3 linked regions of the Xenopus tropicalis genome follow. The protein of the gene in region 2 purifies or fractionates together with the protein of the main gene of each other region. This does not show direct contact. Links are inferred from orthologs where the notes say so. Each region holds a gene or a part of one and is shown on either strand. Other genes may lie near its edges. The genes, in order: mkks, bbs12 and bbs7.

Evidence for each region.
Region 1: the proteins of bbs12 (region 2) and mkks purify together in Homo sapiens (co-immunoprecipitation; 4 studies listed by BioGRID and IntAct, counting the BioPlex papers as one, with this or other methods). This does not show direct contact. The link is inferred for Xenopus tropicalis from reciprocal best matches to the Homo sapiens genes BBS12 and MKKS.
Region 3: the proteins of bbs12 (region 2) and bbs7 purify together in Homo sapiens (co-immunoprecipitation; 3 studies listed by BioGRID and IntAct, counting the BioPlex papers as one, with this or other methods). This does not show direct contact. The link is inferred for Xenopus tropicalis from reciprocal best matches to the Homo sapiens genes BBS12 and BBS7.

The regions. Positions count from the first base shown.
Region 1 is NC_030681.2:26,752,990-26,759,787, reverse strand, and holds the end of mkks (McKusick-Kaufman/Bardet-Biedl syndromes putative chaperonin), read left to right. Parts: coding exon 1-187; intron 188-397; coding exon 398-573; intron 574-2,196; coding exon 2,197-2,307; intron 2,308-3,178; coding exon 3,179-3,619; 3' UTR 3,620-4,779; downstream 4,780-6,798. UniProt on the Homo sapiens protein: Probable molecular chaperone that assists the folding of proteins upon ATP hydrolysis. Plays a role in the assembly of BBSome, a complex involved in ciliogenesis regulating transports vesicles to the cilia.
Region 2 is NC_030677.2:65,985,094-65,993,361, forward strand, and holds bbs12 (Bardet-Biedl syndrome 12 protein), read right to left. Parts: upstream 5,028-8,268; 5' UTR 4,872-5,027; intron 4,866-4,871; exon of another isoform or gene 4,775-4,865; intron 4,051-4,774; 5' UTR 4,021-4,050; coding exon 1,990-4,020; 3' UTR 384-1,989; downstream 1-383. Other genes in the region: cetn4 (centrin 4), read left to right, coding at 5,227-5,229, 6,808-6,963, 8,232-8,268. UniProt on the Homo sapiens protein: Component of the chaperonin-containing T-complex (TRiC), a molecular chaperone complex that assists the folding of proteins upon ATP hydrolysis.
Region 3 is NC_030677.2:66,815,007-66,821,804, forward strand, and holds part of bbs7 (Bardet-Biedl syndrome 7 protein), read left to right. Parts: intron 1-1,082; coding exon 1,083-1,157; intron 1,158-1,559; coding exon 1,560-1,625; intron 1,626-1,850; coding exon 1,851-1,990; intron 1,991-2,677; coding exon 2,678-2,842; intron 2,843-3,863; coding exon 3,864-3,973; intron 3,974-5,210; coding exon 5,211-5,314; intron 5,315-6,353; coding exon 6,354-6,477; intron 6,478-6,798.

The sequences.
Region 1 (6,798 bases), on a different chromosome or scaffold from region 2:
GACACGGAAAATGTTATGCTGGACCAACTCTTGATTCTTGGGAAAAAATTAGTTGAGGACCGTGTCAACTTCCTTCTGTGTCAAAAAGTTGTCCATCCATCCTTGAAGCAATACCTTAAAGAGCACAGTGTCGTTGCAGTGGATAGATTAGGTGCAGCTTTAATGGAACCCGTGAGTCAAATGACAGGTAATTTTTCTTTAAATAGTGTATAAGTTAAAAGGGGTAATCTTCAGCCAAGTGATGTGATGAGCAAGTGCTATTGTGAATATTCATAGTGACCTTAAAAGTATGAACATGATTCATTGTCCTCTCCTCTCTTTGCTTTATCAGTTGTAACCTATTTTTGGTTGAAAAAGTTTTTACATGACAATATTTTTGCTCCCTTTCCAATAACAGGTGCACAACCTATAGCTTCTCTTAGCTCCATCCCTGACACTTGCTATGGCAGCTTGCAAGGTCTTCATAAAATGTCTATGGGATCTAAGCATTATATACACCTTATTCCCACTGGCAACTCAGTGTGCAGCTTTGTCCTCTGTAATCGAAATGAGACATCATTAAAAGAGCTTATGGTAAGTCCATGTTTCACTATGTCACAAGTCTTGCCCTTTTCTGTAGTATTTTATCTTCCTTACCAATACCATGTGTTACTAGTCTAGAATTATTTTTTTTTGTTTCATTTTTAACAGTAAAGTAAGTGTTCCACCTTGTATAGGATGTCATTATGTATGTATGTATGTATAACTTTATTTATAAATCGCCACAAGGGTACGCAGTGCTGTACAATCTTTCAAAATACAAAATTACACACAGGGAGGACAAGTGTTATAATAAATAAATAAATACAATAAATATATATATATATATATATATATATATATAATATGCACAGGGAATAAGTGCCATGTGGTATGAGACACAGTAGGAAGGAGGTCCCTGCCCCGTAAAGCTTTTAGTAATCTGTAAAAATCCAAGCAATCGCTTGCACTTGCAGTTTTGACCCATTACTGACAAGGTTTTCAAAGCCAGATCAACTGCCACTTGGCTTATGTTCCTACATTGATTAAATGCCATGAGAAAGTTGTCCAACTGGGCATAAGCTTAAAGGTGAGTTTGTGAAGTCAAAAGGCTTATATGTGTGGCTGCTTGGTCAAATTCTAATTTTCTGATCATTCCTCTCTAATGGAGCAGAGATTCAATGCACTAGATTTAAAATAGGCGGGCAGGGGCCCGTCTGAGATACAAGGTAGTAGCAGCAGGCACTCTGTGCAGAGAACGGCAACCCTGGGGGGCAGAAGTGCTAGTAAATGTGACTAAGGGCCACCCTCTTGCACTTGTGCCCCCTGGTATTATAAATTACTCCTTATGTTTTTTACACTTAACCACCTGCCATTCACTTTTCTAAACTCTATGTGCTCAATGGAGCACAGATATTTGGCCCTTGCCCATAAATACAGTGCTGCCTGGTGATACCAAAATCTCTCTACCTTGCACCTTATTTCCAATCTGGCACTAGGTGTATAGCACAGCCAGACCCTGTATGCAAAGTTGTTTAAATAAGCAATAAGAGCTGCCCCTAGGACTAGCTTCAAGAGCTTATATAAGTTCAGTAGCAATATAAATGTCATTGGGCACCAACTATTATTGACTTTTGCAAAGTTTTGAGCACATAGAATTTGTGAGGTTTTGCACTTTTTTTCCTGAAGTTCTGTTGCATATTATATTTTATTTTTTTCTTAGTAGTTCTGCCTTGTAACTAGTTTCTTGCAAATTTATCATGGTTTTGTTACAATACTAAGTCTAAAATCTTATTCTTATATTTATTCTGGTGTTTTGTGTCAGCATTAAACAAATATTTGATAAATGGCAAAATAAAACTAGAGAATACATCTTGCAGATTTAGCTGGTGACTTTATTTTATTGTACTTTAATAAACCCAATTTCCCTAACGGGAGGCTAGAATATATATCACTGACTGTTTTTAATTTAGGAGATAAAGGAATGGCTGCTTCTGTTCCAGCCTGGAACTGGAGACCAATTATAAATTACTGAATTGTCCAACGGTACCATTTTTTTTAAAGTTAATTCCAAAATTGTCTGGATCATTAAGTGAATGGGGTGATTTATACAGTTATTAACCTGTTTTGCTTTGAACAGTGATTTAATAAATAACAACATCTTCATTTTTATTGCAGCGGACCTGCGAGGCAGCAGAGCGTGTATTACAGCTCACTCTTAAGAACCCATGGGTGTTGCTTGGTGGTGGCTGCACAGAAACACACTTGGCAGCATTGCTGAGATACAAGGTAAAATTATTACTGCAAAATAGAACTGTCTAATTTAATGCACCCCATCAAAAGCCAGAAGCTAGATTGTAATTAAGAAATAAATGACCCTGAGCTTGGACATCCTTGTTAGAGATAATTCAGCATGTAGGAAATAGCTTGCAGCTACCCTGTACACCCTTATATATCCCCTCCCACCTTTTTTTGGGCTTTTAGTTACTGTTGCACACAGGAGCGTGCACCATGGGCCAATTTAATCATGCTGTGACTGTTAATGACTATATTTAGTGAACAAGATAAATAATTTCATTTTTTTACCCCTGTTTCAAAGAGCATCCTACTTATCATGCTCCATTGCTGTTTTAAGTAAAGCATTTCTAATATATATTGCATACACATTTTCTGTACTGGGAATATACCAGAGGCTTCACTGATAATGGTCTTCAGGTTGGTATTGTTTTCTTTGTGTCTGGATGCACCATAATATAAAACTCTATCTCTAGGCAGTCAGCATATGTACTTAGTTACACACACACACACATATTTATATATATATATATATATATATATATATATATATATATATATATATATCAGTCCTGATGGTGTCTGCACTCCAAGGCTTTAGTATTCTGTGGGGTGCACAGCCAAAAAAAATTTTTTGAATTTTAAGGGTGTGCCGGCCATGGATTATTTCATGCTGTATATATATATATTTGTATATATATATATATATTTGTATATAAAGCTGTAGCTAATGTGTCAGGTCCAAGTGATTTTCCAAACCGTTATAACTAACAAACCTCTGAGTATATAAACATTATGACCATAGAAGTAGTTAATATCTATCCAGTATTAGCTAGAGCTTAGCTGTGATTTTACTCTGTTTCAGAGTGCCAATATGCACAGCAGTGGCCTGACAGAGCTGAACTGCACAGCGGCAGAGTACCAGCTGGTGGCCGATTGCTTTTGCATCTCATTAGAGGCTCTAGCACGAAATCTGGAACACGACGGAGGAGAAATGTCCATTGATCTACAGATGGGTCATTGCTGGTCTGCTGCTCCTGATGGTGCTGTGGATTTCCATTGCTCAGATACTGGGCAGCAATGCGGGTGTGGAACGCACAGGAAATTAGAAGGGTTAAAGTGCAGTGCTCTGGGAAGTAGGTACGAACCATTCTGTCCTCAGGGGAGCACAGAAAAACAATTATACCCAAAGTCGGACAAGTTTGTTTTTGACTGTTTTGCTGCAAAATGTAACGCCTTACAAGTGGCTGTTAACACTGCCAGTTTAATTCTGGACCTGTCATATGTAATTGAAGATCCCAATTAAGTCCTGTTTCTTAAACAAGTGTATTCGGAGTGAAAAATTTGATTGTAAAACTCACCTTGCTATAGAGATATTTTACAGTGGGTGGGGTCTTATCTATGGCAAATTACCTTATACCATGTGATGTTTCTACTGATTAAAACTTAAATGTTGGGAGTTGTGGTAAATATATTACTATCGAGTCATTAAAGGAACATTTAAGTGTAAAATTAAACTGGGTAAGATAAACTGAATAAAAAATATTTCTAAAAGTAAGCCAAAAATGTAATCTCTAAAGGCTGGAGTGAGCAAATGCCTAACATAATAGCCAGATCACTAATACCTCCTTTACAGCTCTCTAAGCTGTTAGCCATCAGTAACCAATCAGTGACTTGAGGGGGGGTCATATGGGACATAACTGTTCATTTAGTTTGCACTAATTGAATCTGACCCGCGTGCTCACAAACTAACTGAAAAGTTATGTCCCATGTGCCCCCCAGCTGAAGTGAATTTTTTTGGACGTCGGGCTTTATTTTAGACATGTAATACTCAATAAACATTTGTACTTACTTTACTTTATTTGAACCGTCATTGTTGGTACTTTTGGAGTGCCTGACCAAGTTCTTGTGATTCCGCTCCCTCAGGCACCCAAACCCAACATTTCAACTAGTGAGTTCTTCTGTTTGCACTTTTTTGGGTAACACATAAACTAAAAATCATTTAAACTTTAAATAAACCCAATAGGATTCTTTTGCCTACAATATGGATTTATTGTATCCTAGTTGGGATAAAGTACAAGGTACTGTTTTAAATTACAGAGAAAAAGGGAATTTATTTTAAATTTTTAATTATCTGATTAAAATCGAGTCTATGGGAGATGCCCTGCCTGTAATTTGGAAATTTCTGGATAACAGGTTTGCGGATAACAGATCCCATACTTGTATAGGCATATGATCTATTATCTGCAAATTCATTACTGGAAAGCTCCAACTGATTACCTTTTTCTCCCTAATAATAAGATGGTACCTTGCACTTCATGGTAATTAAGCTGCATTATTCCAGAGTATTGATTAATGTGTTGTTCCAGAGGACAGATCCCATATTCTGTATTTAATTAAACCTAATTAGACTTTACCGTGTCATTTTAATAATAAATGTAAATAAATATTCACAAATCACAGTCATATATGGTGGTGTCTGTATTATTTTTCTAACTGTAACTATAGGGCAGTTGGTTTCACTGTAATGTTGTTGGTGTGTAAGGTTGGATTTTCTTTTAGCATCTCTTCAAATACATGGATATACACAGTGTTACAAATAAATAATATATTGGGGTAACAGTCAGGGTCATATGGTTCCAGGAGAACAGCAAAATCTCACTCGCTTCAGTGGCTTAGGGAAACATGATCATAGGGTAAATCTACTTACTTACCATGAAGTAGAAGGAGAAGAAACGAACTAAATTCCTTGGTGTCAAGCTGGACATACATGATCCATAATAAAATGCCAACTTGGCGGCTTATTATTCTTATATGGGAGCTTCTCGACAGGCTGCATCTTTGATATTTATTAGACATGTTTGAAGATTTCCTTGGGTGAGGGCCACATTGATTCATCCTTTCATAACGGGTCTTCAGAGAGTCAATGAGGCCAATAATCCAATCAGCCTTATTTAGCCAAGTTCATGGGTAGCCAAATCAAGTAGAAATCCTCTGGAGAGGCTCTGTAAGGTCTAGCAGCAATGTAGCATCTCCTCATAAAGTGCCTGGAATGTATTTGTTTTTATCAGTCGTAGAAATCTGTTCCTTATGGTGCTTTAGTTCCCCATTTTTTCTTAAAGGAACAGTAACACCAAAGTGTTTTAAAATAATTTATTTTAAACAGCATAATTAGTAGGTCCCTTGCTGTATGTACTACCTGTAAGGTTATCAAACAACATGGTAAGGTCTAATATAAAACCCATTCTCTGTGTTGTACCACTATGCAGAATAGGTATAGAAAGTGATGTAGCACAGAAAATATTTTCTCCCAGTTCCATTATTATACTTTACTTTGGATCATTTTTAAAGAGATAGAAATAGGGAGGGTCATAAGCAGTAGGGTAACTATGTGATGCAGGGTAACTATGTGATGCAGGGCCCCACAACAAAAAAATCTTTGGAGGGGCCAGGCATGCATAACCAACGCTTTCCCCCTCGCCCTTCTGCCCAATCACATCCCTACATCCCTGCCTGCTCTAGGGTAGGAGAGAGGCTGGAGAAGGGAGAATTCTGCACTGTAAAGGTATACTATATGACCAAAAGTACTTGCTGACACAAGTGTATGATCATACATTGACATTCTTGACAATTCTGAGCTGGGTAGTTTAACGAAGGCACCATAATGTACAAAGCAAGGTTCATACACAGTAGGTTTGCTGAGATAGGATTGGAAGAACTTAATTGCCCTGCAAAGAGCCCTGATCTCTTGCCAACCGAACATCTGTCGGGTGAACTTGAACATCCATGTGAGTGAGGCCTTATTCCTAATTTCAGTACCTGAAACCAATTGAACCAATTCCCACCAACAATGTCCTAATATCTAGTGGAAAGCCTTCCCTGAAGAGTAGATGGTAGAAGCAGCTTTATATTAATACATTTGGTTTTGGATTAAGCTATCAGGCAGGCAGGCTTCCATATACTTTTAGCCATATAGTGTAACAGTACTGTACAGGTATTGGACCCCTTATCCGGAAACCCATTATCCAGAAAGCTCCGAATTACGGAAAGCCCGTCTCCCATAGACTCCATTATAAGCAAATAATTCAGAATTTTAAAACTGATTTCCTTTTTTTATGTAGAAATAAAAAAGAACCTTGTAATTGATCCCAACTAAGATATAAATAATCCTTATTGGATGCAAAACAATCCTATTGGGTTTAATTAATGTTTTATTAATGTTTTAGTAGACTTAAGGTATGGAGATCCAAATTATGGAAAGACCCCTTATCCGGAATACCCTTGGTCCCGAGCATTCTGGATAATGGGTCCTATACCTGTACTATACTATATACTAGTGTATAACAGTGCTATACTATATTGTTATTTCTCTCTCGTATGTTGCTATGCATGGTCCATACTGTACTAAAGTAAAGTACTTGGGCACTGGAAGCTACCATAAACAACTCCAAAAACTTGATTGGAGTTGTTCAGTTGTTCACATTT
Region 2 (8,268 bases):
TGAGCTAAAATGGCAGCTGCTATTTTAAACAAACAGATGGAGATTCCAGGGCTGTTTAGTCAGGTATGCTAAAGCTTTCTGCAGAACAAATATAGCGTTATAGCTTGCACTAATGGGGCTAATCTATTGGCAGTAACATGCCAAAATGCCTTCCCTTCTCCTTTAAGTTCCTCTTAACCAACTTTTCTATTATCTAGAAAGTAGTATTCTGAGACAATTAGCAATTGATTTCATTTTTGTTTTTTTGGATGCCTATAGCTTAGGTAGATTTGTGCAAAAGTTTAGTGCTGACTGGAGTTCAGAGGTTTGGGTAAGGGAAAGTCATATAAGTAATAGCTTACGTATTCCCAGGATAGGCCATACACTGGACATATTAAAATGTATAAAATAAATTAGGTTTGCTTTATTTTTGGCTATTGTAATAATATATGCAACACAATACCCATGGGCCCTATTTTACTTTGATATCCAGGAGGGTATGTCTTTACACAATATCACAGGAAACAAACAGGATTGATAGGTTCATTTGAAATTGTCCATTCAAAATTTGTAAATACACAAAGTTAAAAGTATTAAAAAGATATTGAAAAAATGTGTTCCCTGACAAATAAATTCTAGATGCAATACTGCAAAACAATAGGGAGCAGAAAAAGGAGTATGGAAAATGCACAGAAGAAGATGTAATGCATGTAAACTAACTGCATATTAACATCAAAATGCCAAAGGGGAATGCATAAGGTTTAACTTTAATCACTAAAAATGACAGCAACATGTAGAGGATAATGGAAATTGTAAATGATAATCACTGATAAAAGTATGTAGTACAGGTACAGGATCCATTATCCAGAAACCTGTTAACCAGAATGCTCCAGGTTATGGGAAGGCCATCTCCCATAGACGCCATTTTAATCAAATAATTCAAATTTTTAAAAATGATTTCTTTTTTTCTCTGTAATAAGACCGTGCATTGGACTTGATTCCAACTAGATATTATTAATCCTTAAAAAGGTAAAACAGTAGACTAAAGGTATGGCGATCTAAATTATGGAAACACCCCTTATCCGGAAAACACAAAGTCCTGAGCATTCTGGATAATATATCCCATACCTATATTAGTAGTGCTGGAAGAATCTTTATTGGCTGGCAGCTGCAGGATATCCCAGGGACTCAGCTTGCGAACAAAGGTAGAATATATAAATCCTGGGAGGGGGCAGAATAAATTAAATCAGATGTAAATCAGATGTAAAGTGTAAAGTATTACACATACAGCAATAACAATTTCAGTGATAGGACTGATTTCCTGCAAATGAAAAAACCACTAATGTCTTATTGCCCTTAGATGCCAATTTTCAATTAAAGATGTTCAAGGGGGTTACTGTTCATATTCGGTTTAGATTTATTTCATATTAATTATGACTGAAGCAGTATAGACACAAAAAAATTAATGGCTTTTAATAACTGCAATAACAAATGAAAAGAGTAAAGCAGTCTCCCTAAAATCAGGGAGAATCAGTTTCTGACTTATGTGGTGTTTAGAAGCTGCTAAATTGAGCCCCTGATAAGCACTAATGTCTGCTCTTATCAAAAAATTATACTCTAAAACAGGGATCCCCAACCTTTTATACCCGTGAGCCACATTCAAATGAAAAAAGGGTTGGAGAGCAACACAAGCATGAAAAAGGTTCCTGGGGGTGCCAATAAGAGCTATAATTGACAATTTAATAGGCCCCATGTGGACTGGCAGCCTACAGAAGGTTCTGTTTGGCATTATATTGGGTTTTTATGCAACCAAAACTTGCCTCCAAGCCAAGAATTCAACAATGGGCACCTGCTTTGAGGCCACTGGGAGCAACATCCAAGGGCTTGGGGAGCAACATGTTGCTCACGAGCCACTGCTCTAAAACATAGAAGGCATCAGGAAATCAAGTGTTTCTGTGCTTAAAACTAAGGATTCATAAAGTCCAAATGCAAAGTTTCTTGTTCTCAGAGCTATAGAAATAGGTATTCTCCATTTGAACTCTCTGACAAAAGTATCTGGTTATGTACAGCAGAATTGGTAATGACTTCAGCATCTGTCTGAAGCACCATAAGAACTAAATGCAAAGCTCTGCGCCATGCTTCCTGCTTTGGTATAACATTATCATACACTGGTAAACTTTGAGATGTGACAGGAATGCCGATACCATCAATAAATAATACTTTTTTAGAGTACTCATCACGAATGTAGTCAGTAGGTGAAGAGTTTTGGATTATATTTTGAAGTTCATTCTCTATAAATGTCACAGAATCCAATTCTGAAAGAAATTTGCCCATGTTGCAAAGAAGAACAGAAATATACTTGTACAAGCCCTTGGCAAGGCATCTGATAATTGGTGCTCTGTAATAAGCTGCACTTTCAGTCATCCATGATGAGAGGCAATGGAATTGGGTACTGTCATTTGCTTTGTAAGACTTTAAGGGATCTTGTACAAGCTTCTGAAGGTGGCTAATACACAAAAGTTCAATGGCTCCGGCTCCATAAAACACCTTTTCCTCGTGAAGAGCATGATGTAACCTGTATGCACATGTCCAAAATTGATCTTCTATGGCCTGCATTGTAGCTGGTGTTCTGCTGCTGAGTATAGTTGTTATCAGGTTTAGTTTCTTTGCTTTAATAGAAATAACTATTTTTTGGCCTACTTCTATTATGGAGTTTGCTTTAGTGCACAACGTGACAAAGGCCTCATTCCCCACAGAGCAGGTGTTCATTTGAGTTAGGTATGTCACAGGTTCTGCGCCAGTGCATTCAGAAAACGCTTGCAGAATATTCTGCTTTACTTGGGTAACAATAAGGATATTTCTATGAATGCACTGTTTTAGAAGAACTGGGCAAACATCACCCCTTACTAAAATTAAGTTTATATTAGCTTGAATAATTTTTTCATATGCCCTACCAATCCAAGAATCCTCTAAATTATGTTTTTCATTGCCAGCATATTCAAACACCATTCTAATGTTGTCTGGATTGTTAAAGCCCAAATGACGATGCCTTTCAGTTAATTCCCCATCTACAAGAAGGATTCTAAGTGGCTGCCCATTTAGATGTGCAATGGCAACAGCACTCTCTGGTGGGACTAAAGTAGTGTATCCAGTAGATACAGTTGTGTGCTCTTCGGACAAACCTGGTAAACTGCAAGTCTCAAGTCTAGAGATGTTGAAACTGCTTTTATCTAATAAGTTTTCTTTAATCTCTGCACATTGTAGAATAACTGCTTTTTTCACAAGGTCCATAACTGGCTGGTAACCATGAGCCAAGCCTTTAGCCAAACCATCCAGGGTTTCATTATTTAATGTAGATGTTTGAGGCTTTTCAGACACATCCCGGAAAGAACTTAACTCTTCAGCTAAGTGCCTGCTGTGAAACAGCCTTTTCCTCTGATAAGTTTGAGTTTTAGGAACATTTGTGCCAGTATATTGCAGGGACATTTCTTTACGGAACGCTGCAGGACACTCAAAAGTTGTCCTTACATTAGAAACATGAGGTAATGAAATGTTTTTTTGTTCTGAAGAACATTTGACTTGATCCCCTGAGGCTGAAAAACGCATACAGTCAATGCTATGCGCCTTCATATTTGTGCAGTCACTAGTTGCCTGGGACCTTAGAAATACCTGTAAGCATTCAACGTGCCCAATGCATGAATTTAATGCTTCCAACATAACAGAAACGATTAATGAAACAGGGATCCCTAGGTGTAAACATTCCTGTACAGCACTGCTCCATGCACCAACCATGAAGAACAAAGTCGTTGTTCCAGTTTTATAGCTTTTTTGATGTGCCTGAATCGTTTCATTAAAAAGTTGTCCAACAGCGCTAGTAAGATCCAGATTTTCCAGAAGTCGAAATGCAGAACAAGTCAATATACTTTCATGAGTAGTTTGGTCAAACACAAACTTGTATGATTTCATGGGTCCCAAAAAAGAATTTACGGATTTTGCCATGCTTAACAATTGCTGAAGTCCCTTGTGGCCCCTTATAGCCATATCAGTCAATGGGCGATTTGTCAATATCACCTGTATAAAAAAAAATTATTAAACAGAGTAATTTCATTGCCTAAAAGAAGATGCTTATTTATAAATATAGTGCAAAGATGTCTGCAAATCACTGTTCTTTGTATCCAAAATTCAGCATTTTCCCCTCACAATATCATGTAGATGCCAATGTGCTGCCACTTTGATAAAAACACACCACAAATTGCATTTGCAGCTTGCTTAGATCAATGGGGGCACAGAACTTTTATTTCCAGCAATCATTGGTGGCACAAGAATACAGAAGCATGTAGTTAAAATATATTTGTGAATAACATTTGGATGAATGCAGATTTAAGTAAATTGTTGATACAAAGGGTTATATTAAACAGTGATACCTAAAATATGGTTTTCTCATCAGCAGGAGCATAAACAGTGGTCTGAAATAGACAAATGGATTACGCAAACTTGTACTCCCCCCTTCTAATGAATGGGTATTTACTACAGGATTAGAATTTAATACCTAGCAGCAGGTCATGCAGGATAATCACTGTTTTGTATTATTTGAAAGGGAATCAAAGCAAACAAATTGATTCTAAGCCTGCACATATATTACTCATTGTGTAAACATGGTTTGTCCTGCCATTATCTAATACATAAGGAAACACAGCTAGTTAGAAATGAGCCCTGGCCCTTGGAATTATGGGGCAACACAGCAAATTCATTTGCTGCGACTAATTTCTACAGACTTCCTATCTCCTTCACTAACCTCTCTGCTTCACAGTGACATTCCCCGATCTTGTAGGCTAGCACAGGCCGCCATAGCTCCCCGCCAGACCCCCGGACATTAACAAAAACACAAATACCTAAACATTAATCTTCCATGCGCCTGCGGACCAAGACGCTGCGGAGGAAAGTGGGCGTGGATTCTCAAAGGCATTGCTGTTGCTATGGAGACGCGGCGCAGGTTATACTTTCAGTTCGTGTGGCGGGACGTCTGAGCGCCTTATGTGGCGGGCTATGGGCGGTTCTGTGGATGTGGGTGGGGCTAATGAGGAACTGAGAATCCAGGGATTGGATTAGATCGTAACTAGGAACTGGTGGGTGGGGCTGGTAGCTGGGGGTGACTGCCTGTTGGTGGTGTGGTTACTGTGACTGGGAAACACAAGTGACAAGAAAAGGAGTCGGGAAGGTGCTGTATTTGGGCTACTCCGATCAAAAATGGTACGTTCTGCTGCGGCTGCTGATATATTTCTCATTGTAGCTTTCAATTGATTTTATGTGCAGTCACAGTAAAGACTAGTGATTTACGTTCTACCGCCTACTTGCCCATTGGTGTAGTTTAGGACAACTGGAGACATCAAAGCTTTATTTTGTCTTGTTCTGTGCGCTTGATGGGGAAAAAGACGCTATGCGCTATTTTGCAGCATACTGCGCTAATATTGCATTAGGATAAAGTAATGTTGCACCTGCCTGCAGCTAATTCCAGTTCAGTTGTATGGAGTGAATGTGACGCAGTAGATAGTATCAGTCAGAACCTACAATTTATGTTTTGTGCCTTCCAGCCATCATTTCAGTACTGTGCCGACTGACTACTCCGAGGTGCACACTGATTGGTCCAATTACTTGTATGTTTATTCTGGGCTTTGGCCCTATCTCTTTAGGGGTTGCACAGTGACCCCATACATTTGGAGAGTACCTACCATGCTGCTTGTAGTTCTAGCCTAATAAATGTGTATTAGAAAATGCTTTCTCCAACAGTCTTCTAATTTAGTTGGAATTGGCATTTTGAAAGGTTTAAATGCAAGATGTGTCTTACTTTCTAGATCTAGATCATTATGAGGAGATGCAGCCCCCAGTCAATGCTTTACAGGGCGCTGTCAGTCTTGGAGACTAATATTTAACTGAGCCATGCATCAGAACTCAACACATTACATAGAGAGCGTTGACACTTCCCTCTGGCATTATGTTTATAGCTTTTAGATAAATATTCCCTGGTGTTGACAGTATTTGTAATTTAATGATAGATTTGATCACTCAGGTTTCTGAAAAGTGAAATAAAGCATAAAAAGCAACATATTTCACATGTTTACGTGTAATAAATGGATCATACAGGGGCTTCATAAATAAGTTAGAGTATATTGTGTTTAATGTAGCTCTTTTGGGCAGGGCTCTCTTCACCTCTTTTATAGCTTATTGATTGCTTTAAACTGGCCATACTCGGGCAGATCTGCTCGCTTGGCGATGTCGCCAAGCGAGCGGATCTTCACCCGATATCCCCACCTACGGGTGGCGATATCGGGGAGGCATGTAGGTGAACTCGATCGTTTGGCCCTGATATCGGCAGCTTCTATCGGCCCGTGTATGGGGACCTTTATATGTTACTCTGTATGTCCAATGTATGAAACCCACTTATTGGACAGCACTGCGGAATATGTTGGCGCTTTATAAATAAACGTTAAAATAATAATAAAGTGGGGTGACCAGATCATTTGACAATTCGGGGAATTTCTAATAAATACATGTTGTAGGACAGCACTGCTTGCATTTAAAATAATCTGCGGTCAGTTCAGCCTTGTTAATTGTTAAATGGACCTGGTCACCCTAGTTTTGTGTATTTAGGGACATTCTAGATTTTTGTATTTAGGGACATTCTAAATTTGTGTATTTAGGGACATAAGAATTCAGTTCTATTATGGTCTTAGTATAAAGTTTTACAGAAGCAAGCAAGCATTCGTATTTATTTAGTGAAATATGCATACTAATCCAACTAATCCTGTTCCCTTCCACGCCTTTCTTTAGGCCTCTGTTCTTCGTAAGCCTGGGTTAGGTGCCACTCAGCGTAGGAGAATAGGAGCAAAACCTGAACTAACAGAGGAACAAAAACAGGAGATCCGTGAAGCATTCGATTTGTTTGATACTGATGGATCTGGCACCATTGATGTCAAGGAACTAAAGGTAAGTTATTCATAAAACTGAACTAATAGACATAGATTTGCTCAAGAAAATATACTACAGATGACAGAAGTTCATATAGTGCACTGATTCAGTAGTGCACTTTCTGTATCTCTACTGGTACCACTGATCTACAGATCTTTGTAGCCACCAATAGTTTAAAATGTATTCAATATGCTAGGATTTATGTGCAGGAGCTCTTTATTAGTGTATATTTTATGAAGGGCAATAACACAACCACAAGGATTGATCAGTAGCAAGTAAATTACCACTCCAGTTTCTGGTTCACCTGTATTGCTTTGTTATCATTCTAAACTCAGGTTTTAGTTTTTTTACATAATTTTGTATAAATGACAAACTGGGGGGAAGTTCTCCTAGGAACAAATAATGAAATAAATCATTATAACAGAAAGATCTAAGAGGAGAACTGAGTGAACTGGAGTGAATAGTTTTTTCCCCATTATTATATATTTAGCTCTTTAGCAGAGCTCTGCAGCTTTCATCTTGTAATACATTGTATGATGTTTCCAGAGATCACTAAAAAAATCACTACTGGGTTCCACATCTTAAAGCACAAATTACCTCCAGACCAGTATGCTCTATGTGGCTCTTTTCTGAAACCTTAAGATACTTGCCTTGATAGTTTAACTCTTCTATTGGACAGTATTACAGAACAGTAACAAAGCTTAGAGACATCCTATAAATTAAAATAAATAATCTATTTTTGATTAAAAAAATATTTATCTGCAATAGACTGTGCAGTGGCATCTGTTTTTCTGTACAAGAGCAGAACATGCAGGCTTATTGCAGATGGTGTGATTTTTCATTAATTCTTTTTTCTTTAATTTTCCCCATATAAACACTGGCTTATGATCTAATATTGTCCTTATATGTAACGATATTGATGGATAGTTTGGCTAGTGTCAGCTTTAGTACCCGAACAGAAGTTCCACCAGCACCCCTGGCCTCTGCCAGTAGTAAATTCAGTGTACAGCCTAGAGGGTTGGCACCCTCACGGGAACAAGACAGGAGGTGAATGGCACAACGAGTGTAATGCAAGTGGGGCTTAGCCCCTGTATGTTTATTGAAAGTGTAGTAGCAGTGTTCTAGGGTGTACCCCTTTGTCAGGCATGCTTTAGTACCTGACCATGGCATATTCTGTTTATACTGTAAACTGACCTGTAATAATATGCTTTCTATTAGGATTAATAGTAAATTATATATTAGAATTTTATCTAGAAAATGTTAAATTATATGTTAATATTTGACAGGTAGCTATGCGGGCTTTGGGATTTGAGCCCAAAAAAG
Region 3 (6,798 bases), about 830 kb from region 2:
TATAATTTATTGTTTGTTATAATTCCCCTTTATGTTCTTATAAAGGGGTTGTTTACCTTTGTACAACATTCACAAATGTGAAACAGTTCACATGAATAGAATAATCTTTGCTATATACATAAAAATGTGCATCTGAAAACATATCATCTCAGAATCATCCCACTGCTGTACCTTCACTTCTGCACTAGTTGCTATTTCACTTCCTTATATGATGCCACACATAGTACTGGCAGCAGATTCTTATTGGATGTGTCTCCTGTCAGTCTGACACTGCTTCCTGTGCCTGTGGCAGAATGCTGCAAGTCTTACACAACAGCATGTTAGATTTGTTAAATGCTGAGTCTGTTTGCCTATGCCATTGCAAGAGAGAAATTAACCAATGACTTTTCAACTTATGTAACTGGTTAGAGTGCAACCAATGAATTAGTCCAGTAGAAAAAAAAGAGGGCAAAGCCCGGACATGATGGTGTAAGCATATAGGAAGTTCTAAGTGTGTCAGGTTCAAAATAGATTAAACAGTGGCCTTTTTACTTTTTTTGTGGAAAATGGATTTTCTAACCTGCTGAGAGCATTGTTGGTGGTTTAAAATTATTTGGACATTGAAGGTGAACAACCCCTTTTAAATATTATATATATGGTTTGGTTGTAGCTACTACTTGAACAGGAAAATCTAACCTGTGAACTACTGTTCTGCCAATAAGTACATATTATGTATTCAATGCACATTTACTGGCATAGTATTTAATCTGAATGCCTGAGACAGCCTCTATACAGGCAGCTTCTTATTTGCTTTAGTGAGAGTATAAAACAGGAAGAAAGATATGTAGATTACCGGCATCAGTGCAGTCATTTTAATATATACAAATTGCCTTCAACATTGCAGCAACATGTTTTAAGGTTTATTTATTATATAAGGTTTGGTTTCTCTTCAAGGTGATCTTTACATGGCAATTAAACCTCAAATGTGGTTAAAAAAAATAGCCAAATCAATAGTATTGTGAATCCACAGTAAGAATAGATGTTTTTCAGCCTGTGGAGTGGAGTGAGAGGTATCACAGTGCTCATGATATTGATGTTTACAGAGTGACGTCCCTGTGGATCTGCTGGATGTCGACAAGAATTCAGCTGTGGTCAGCTTCAGCGGCTGTGATAATGAGGTGAGAAGTACTTGTGCGAGGATCTAAGAGGCATCTTCATTTAAACCCTTCAGCAGGAAATTGTATCATTTATGTACATGAGAAATTATACACTTGCTCAGATATCTCACACATTACAGTGACGCTTCTGGTATGAGGCAAGGTAAATAATGTACTTTAGGCAGCACTTTACTTTAAGAAGAATTAGTGAGTGCAGAAGAGCTAGGAGAAAGTGGGAGGGATTGGCTTTGGCTCTGCTGCCTCTGGTGGCAATGTGCCAGAAGGTTGAAGGTAATTCAGCAGCAAGCAGAGTATCCATTGCTCAGATATGTGTATGTGATTCTGGTTTCTCTGAGCTTTACATTCGTATTGAAAAAGTTTTGTAATAATTCTTAGCTGATTATTTCTAAATCTTTCTTACAGCCAAATGGCAACTTCCTTCTTGCTACCTATCGTTGCCAAGCTAACACCACACGGCTTGAACTCAAGGTAAAACAAGCATTTAGATTTATTTCAAGTAAAGTAGGAATGAAAAACCCAGATCGAGTGTACATGTGTAATACTCTCTCCCTCTTCTCTTACTATCTCTCTCTATATATATCTTTACTTATAGCAGCTGGGATTGCACACTATCCGTAGTGTTTTTTGCAGGTTACCTTTTTTTTCTCTTTTTTTTGCATTAAGGCTGATTTATTTTTTCATTTATTAAAACAGATTCGGTCTATCGAAGGACAGTATGGAACCCTGCAAGCATATATTACACCTCGCATTCAACCAAAAACTTGCCAAGTCCGCCAGTACCAGATTAAGCCTTTGTCACTTCATCAAAGGGCTCATGCCATTGATCAGAACAGGTACACTGTGCCAGAAATGTTTTTTTCTACACTGCATGGGAAAGCCAAAAGTATTGTGTGTTTGATTGAAGAAAAATAATGAATCAGCAGTTCAGCACTTCAATAAGGCTATGCCTCCACCCAGAGGTTTACAACTGTTGAGCAACATTATTACCTCAAGTGAGGCCTAAGTAAATGATAGATCAGTCTAGCCTGAAGGCTAGCTTTCTGTGTGATTTGAGATGACTGCTTATTTGCTTTCAGAAACAAATCAAATGCCACCCTGAAAGTCAGGTAGTAGATATTTGGGCTGAGCACATTGCTCTTGTAGATATTCTTGGATCTTTAGGAAGGTGACATTAGCACCCTTAAGCCCATTAGACTCTGTATTGCACATGTATGAGCAATTAAACAATGCCTGACTCACTAATATGGCAACACAGTCAGATACAATATTAGGACAGGTAGAGGATTTTTTTTAATAAAGAAGAGCACAGGCTGGCAGAACTTATCATCTATTAAAGTTTGATGTTATCAAACATCTCCACCTTTTATTTTGGCTCATTGTTCTTTAAATATATTTACTATTTTGGAAGGGAACATATATTTAAAATTAAATAAATAAAGCTTCATGAAGGAACAGACCAAAAGTGGATGAGAGTATGAGTTATGCTAGACTGACAGTAATGATATGTGCATGTATTTCAGGCCCATGAACACGGTGAGCCTGACTGGCCAGTTCAGCTTTTCAGACATGCATTCCTGGGTTGTATTTTGTTTACCTGAAGTCCCTGAGAAAACTCCAGTGGGAGAGAACGTCACCTTTTACTTCAAGAATACCTTTCTGGAAACGCAGCTCGAATGTACATACAGGTAAATTGTAAAACTGGGTTCTTCAGAATCATTTCCGCCAATTAAAAGCACGATTGGAAAAAATTTGGAGTAACCACAATAATTTCTAATGTGCAAAAATTCTTTTTTTGGTCATACGAAAATATCGTGGTTGCGATCCGAAAGTCACAAAATGTTCATATCCGAACGATCGTTAAAGGTGCGAGATCCTTTCTGGCTTTAAAACTTAAATGCATGATTTTGGAAGCCTCCCATAGGACTCAATGACACTCTACAGCTCCAACCTGGCCAAAAAAAAGTCACAATACCAAAGCTTAAATGAATTCCGAAATTGTCGTAGTCTTTGCAAAAAATACAAAGTTTTTGTGGAATTTAACGAAAACCACGAAAAAGTCTTACTATTTTAACGATATTGTTGTAAATACGAAAAGGTCTAACAATTAGAAAAAATACAATTTTTTCTTATTCGTGGTCAATATAACCAGGACTGTTATATATAATGTTCCAGAATGTGCAATCCATTTACAGGTATGAGACCTGTTATCCGGAATGTTTGGGACCTGGGGTTTTCCAGATATTTCCATAATTTGGATTTCTGTACCTTACTACAAAAATCATTTAAACATTAAATAAACCCAATAGGTTTGTTTTGCCTCCAATATGAATTAGTGCAGCTTAATTACGATCATGTACAATGTACTGTTTTATTATTACAAAAAAAAAAAAGGAAATCATTTTTAAAAATCTGGATCATTTGATTAAAATGGAGTCTATGGGAGATGGCCTTCCTGTAATTTGGAGCTTTCTGGATAACTGTGTCTGGATAACTGAACCCATACCTGTATCAAAACTTGTTAAAACAAAAGTACTTCAGTCAGTGGGTCTTGTGCAGCATCAAAATATTATGTTCATTAAAAAAATATATATATGTTGTCACTGAAATGTCTTCTGTGGACTTCCACAGGAAATGAAACCTATATATAATATATTATACATATATATAGCATTGTCATTCATGCTCACCTCTTTTTTTTTATCACAGAAAGGGAGAAGGATTATTTAAATCTGACAATATATCAACAATTTCTATCCTGAAAGATGTGCTGTCAAAAGAAGCCACTAAAAGAAAGATTAATCTCAACATATCATATGGTATTTTGTCTAATTTACTTTCCCTTACCTAGCCTTATACAAACATACATTCCACTGTTCAGTGCTCTTGTTCTTGAAATGTATTACTTTTGTGAGTATTTATTTCTTAATATACTTTTTGTAATCTTTTATAGTGCAGTATATCTCCACCTTTGTATTGCAGACTAACACAAGCTGTTTGTTACCGAGTCTGGAGATATTTCAAGTAGTTCAGTTATGTGTGCCATCTAGTTAGGAAATGTTGATGCCTTATTATAAATATATTAGAAAATAGAAATTATATTCATTGTAAAAAGAAAATATTTCAAATCCATATTCATTTTATCTGAAAGAGTATTTAGTTTCATCAAAAATATAAAATACTAAAATATTTTAATGAATGTATACTGGAAAATTATTATATTGAAAATAACAGTTAAATGTTATTTTTGAATTTATATCCCTTTAATACTACTGACTTGTTTCTCAAATTAGTGAAATAGGTTGCTAAGTTTTTCCCCAGGCTGGTGCTCCTGGAGGGAACTGCACCAACCTGTAGAAAAAACTGTCTGAGCACCGCACCGGCATCTCCTTACCTTACTTTCTTATTTGAGTGCAGTGGCCGGTAAATGGTAAGTAAATTGGCGGCATGGCGCTCAGACAGTTTTTTCCACAGGCTTTTAAGATTCTCTTCTAACAGGAGCACCAACCTGGGAAAATAATATAGCAACCTATTTCACTTAGGGGGCCTAACATTTTGGAACCCCTCCATAAAATAGACTTTACATGTCCTGTAATACAGATTCCCTTTGTAAATGAGCTATTCCTTATTACAAAGGCTGCAGCTTAGGTATTAGCGGGGTTTTTTTATACAAAGCTCATTATCTCCCTTTGAAATATTACCCTGTTTTATTTATTGTGCTATTTTCAAGCCAAGGTGTTTACTGCCCCTTTGAGGGAAGATAAATTGTTAAAATGTCAGTAATGGCACTTCTGGTATAAAACATGGCTTTTACTGCTAAGAAACAAACCTAGAACTTTATAATGTAAAAGAAAACAAATTTATGTTATGGCCTTTTAACATTATTTTTTAAGAGCTGTTCACTTTTCCTGAGCTCAAGGGTAATGTTAATGAATGTTAATGCAGTTTGGATAGTAATTACTAGAATGAATGTTACGGTTCCTCCATGTGTAGCAAGCTTTTGCAGTCATCATATAAAACTAACTTTTGCCTCACTTCTTCTTTTGGTTTGTGCAGATATAAATGAAGAATCTGTTGGGCACACTTTGAAACTGATTCATCCAAAACTGGAGTACCAATTGCTCTTAGCCAAAAAAGTACAATTAATTGATGCTCTGAAGGTGGGTAATATGTGTTAGGAGCATTTCTTCTTGTGTGAGCTTTTAGCTAATTAGCTATCAATGGGTCTGTCTATGTTTCAAAATCATGAATGTCAGCATGCTAGCCAGTGTTGGATTACACACCCCAACTTTAAGATCATAAAAGCAACTTTTCTCCTTTGGGCACTGGGGGTTGAGGTAATCATTGTGGTAAAGCATTTTTCTCACAGAAGCAAGACACTGATATCAACAGGGCTGACACATGGTTTTCCCTTCTCTGCATTTTCTAGAATTACACCAGCCAGCTCTAGCCTTTCTGTGTCTTGTTGGTAACAGGTTCTACTGTCGCATACCCATCTGACACCCTAAGCTTGGCTGGTGTGAGACTCTTGCCCTCGTCATTTCCCTTTGTGGGAAGGATTTCACTATTTTGTCTCATTGTCCCTCTCACCTGTTCATTTTACCAAAGATTAAATCATAGGCACTTTAGAAAAAGGCATTGATAACATGTAGCATGTTCCAGTCTGGGAGAGCCAAAAAAGTTTTTTCAGGTTCATGGTAAAGTAATCCTCAGTTTGTGGCTTATAGTCTCACACCCACTCCCTGCATTTTCACAAAAGCAGTGGCAGTTCAGGGCTCCCTCCCAGCATCCTGCAGCTCCCCACCCCAGCATCCTCCAGCTCCACTCCCCAGCATCTCCTCAAAATCCTCCCACCAGCATCCTTCATCTTCCCCCCCCCCGCGACCTGCAGCTCCCTCCTCCAGTGACCCCCTGCTTCCTCCGTCCTTGGCTGCTTCTGTCCCCCCGGCTCCCTGCTGCATCCTTTTATATGGTTGCGCCACATGCGTGGTGACGTCATGCGCACGCACGGGGCGCAACCAATAAAGGCCCGTCATTCTTTTAAGGGGGCCGGAGTTGGCGGGCCAGATTAAAAAGGCCAACGGCCCAGATGTGGCCCGCGGGCTGTAGTTTGCCCACCCCTGTTCTACAGGATACGAATGCTCTGCAAATGGGCTTGAAATGATTGCTGAACTATTTAATTTTGGTTTTGTACAATAGGAGCTGCAAGTTCATGAAGGAAACACAGACTTTCTGATCCCAGAGTACCGTTCTATTTTAGAAGAGGCAGAGAAACTTCAGGAAGAATACAAGAAGCAACCTGCACATCTTGAAAGGCTTTATGGTGGGTTTTGATGGTTTTTAATATGTGGTCCCCATATTTTACCCAAAATGAACAGAACTTCCCTTTTCTATGGTATAAAGGGATTTATCCCACTACAAACAAGTCTCACTTACAGCCCTGATCTACAGACTACACCCCCAGTTACATCTGATGTACATTGTGATTATAATTACAAACTTATAACAGGAGCACTACTGCAGTTGACAAGAGGATGTCACAGTAGTTTAGACAATGCCGAAACTGCAAACTGAGTCAGTATCGTCTTTACAAATTTGGGGCAGATGGTTGTTACAAGGCTGATATAACTAAATAACTGATATA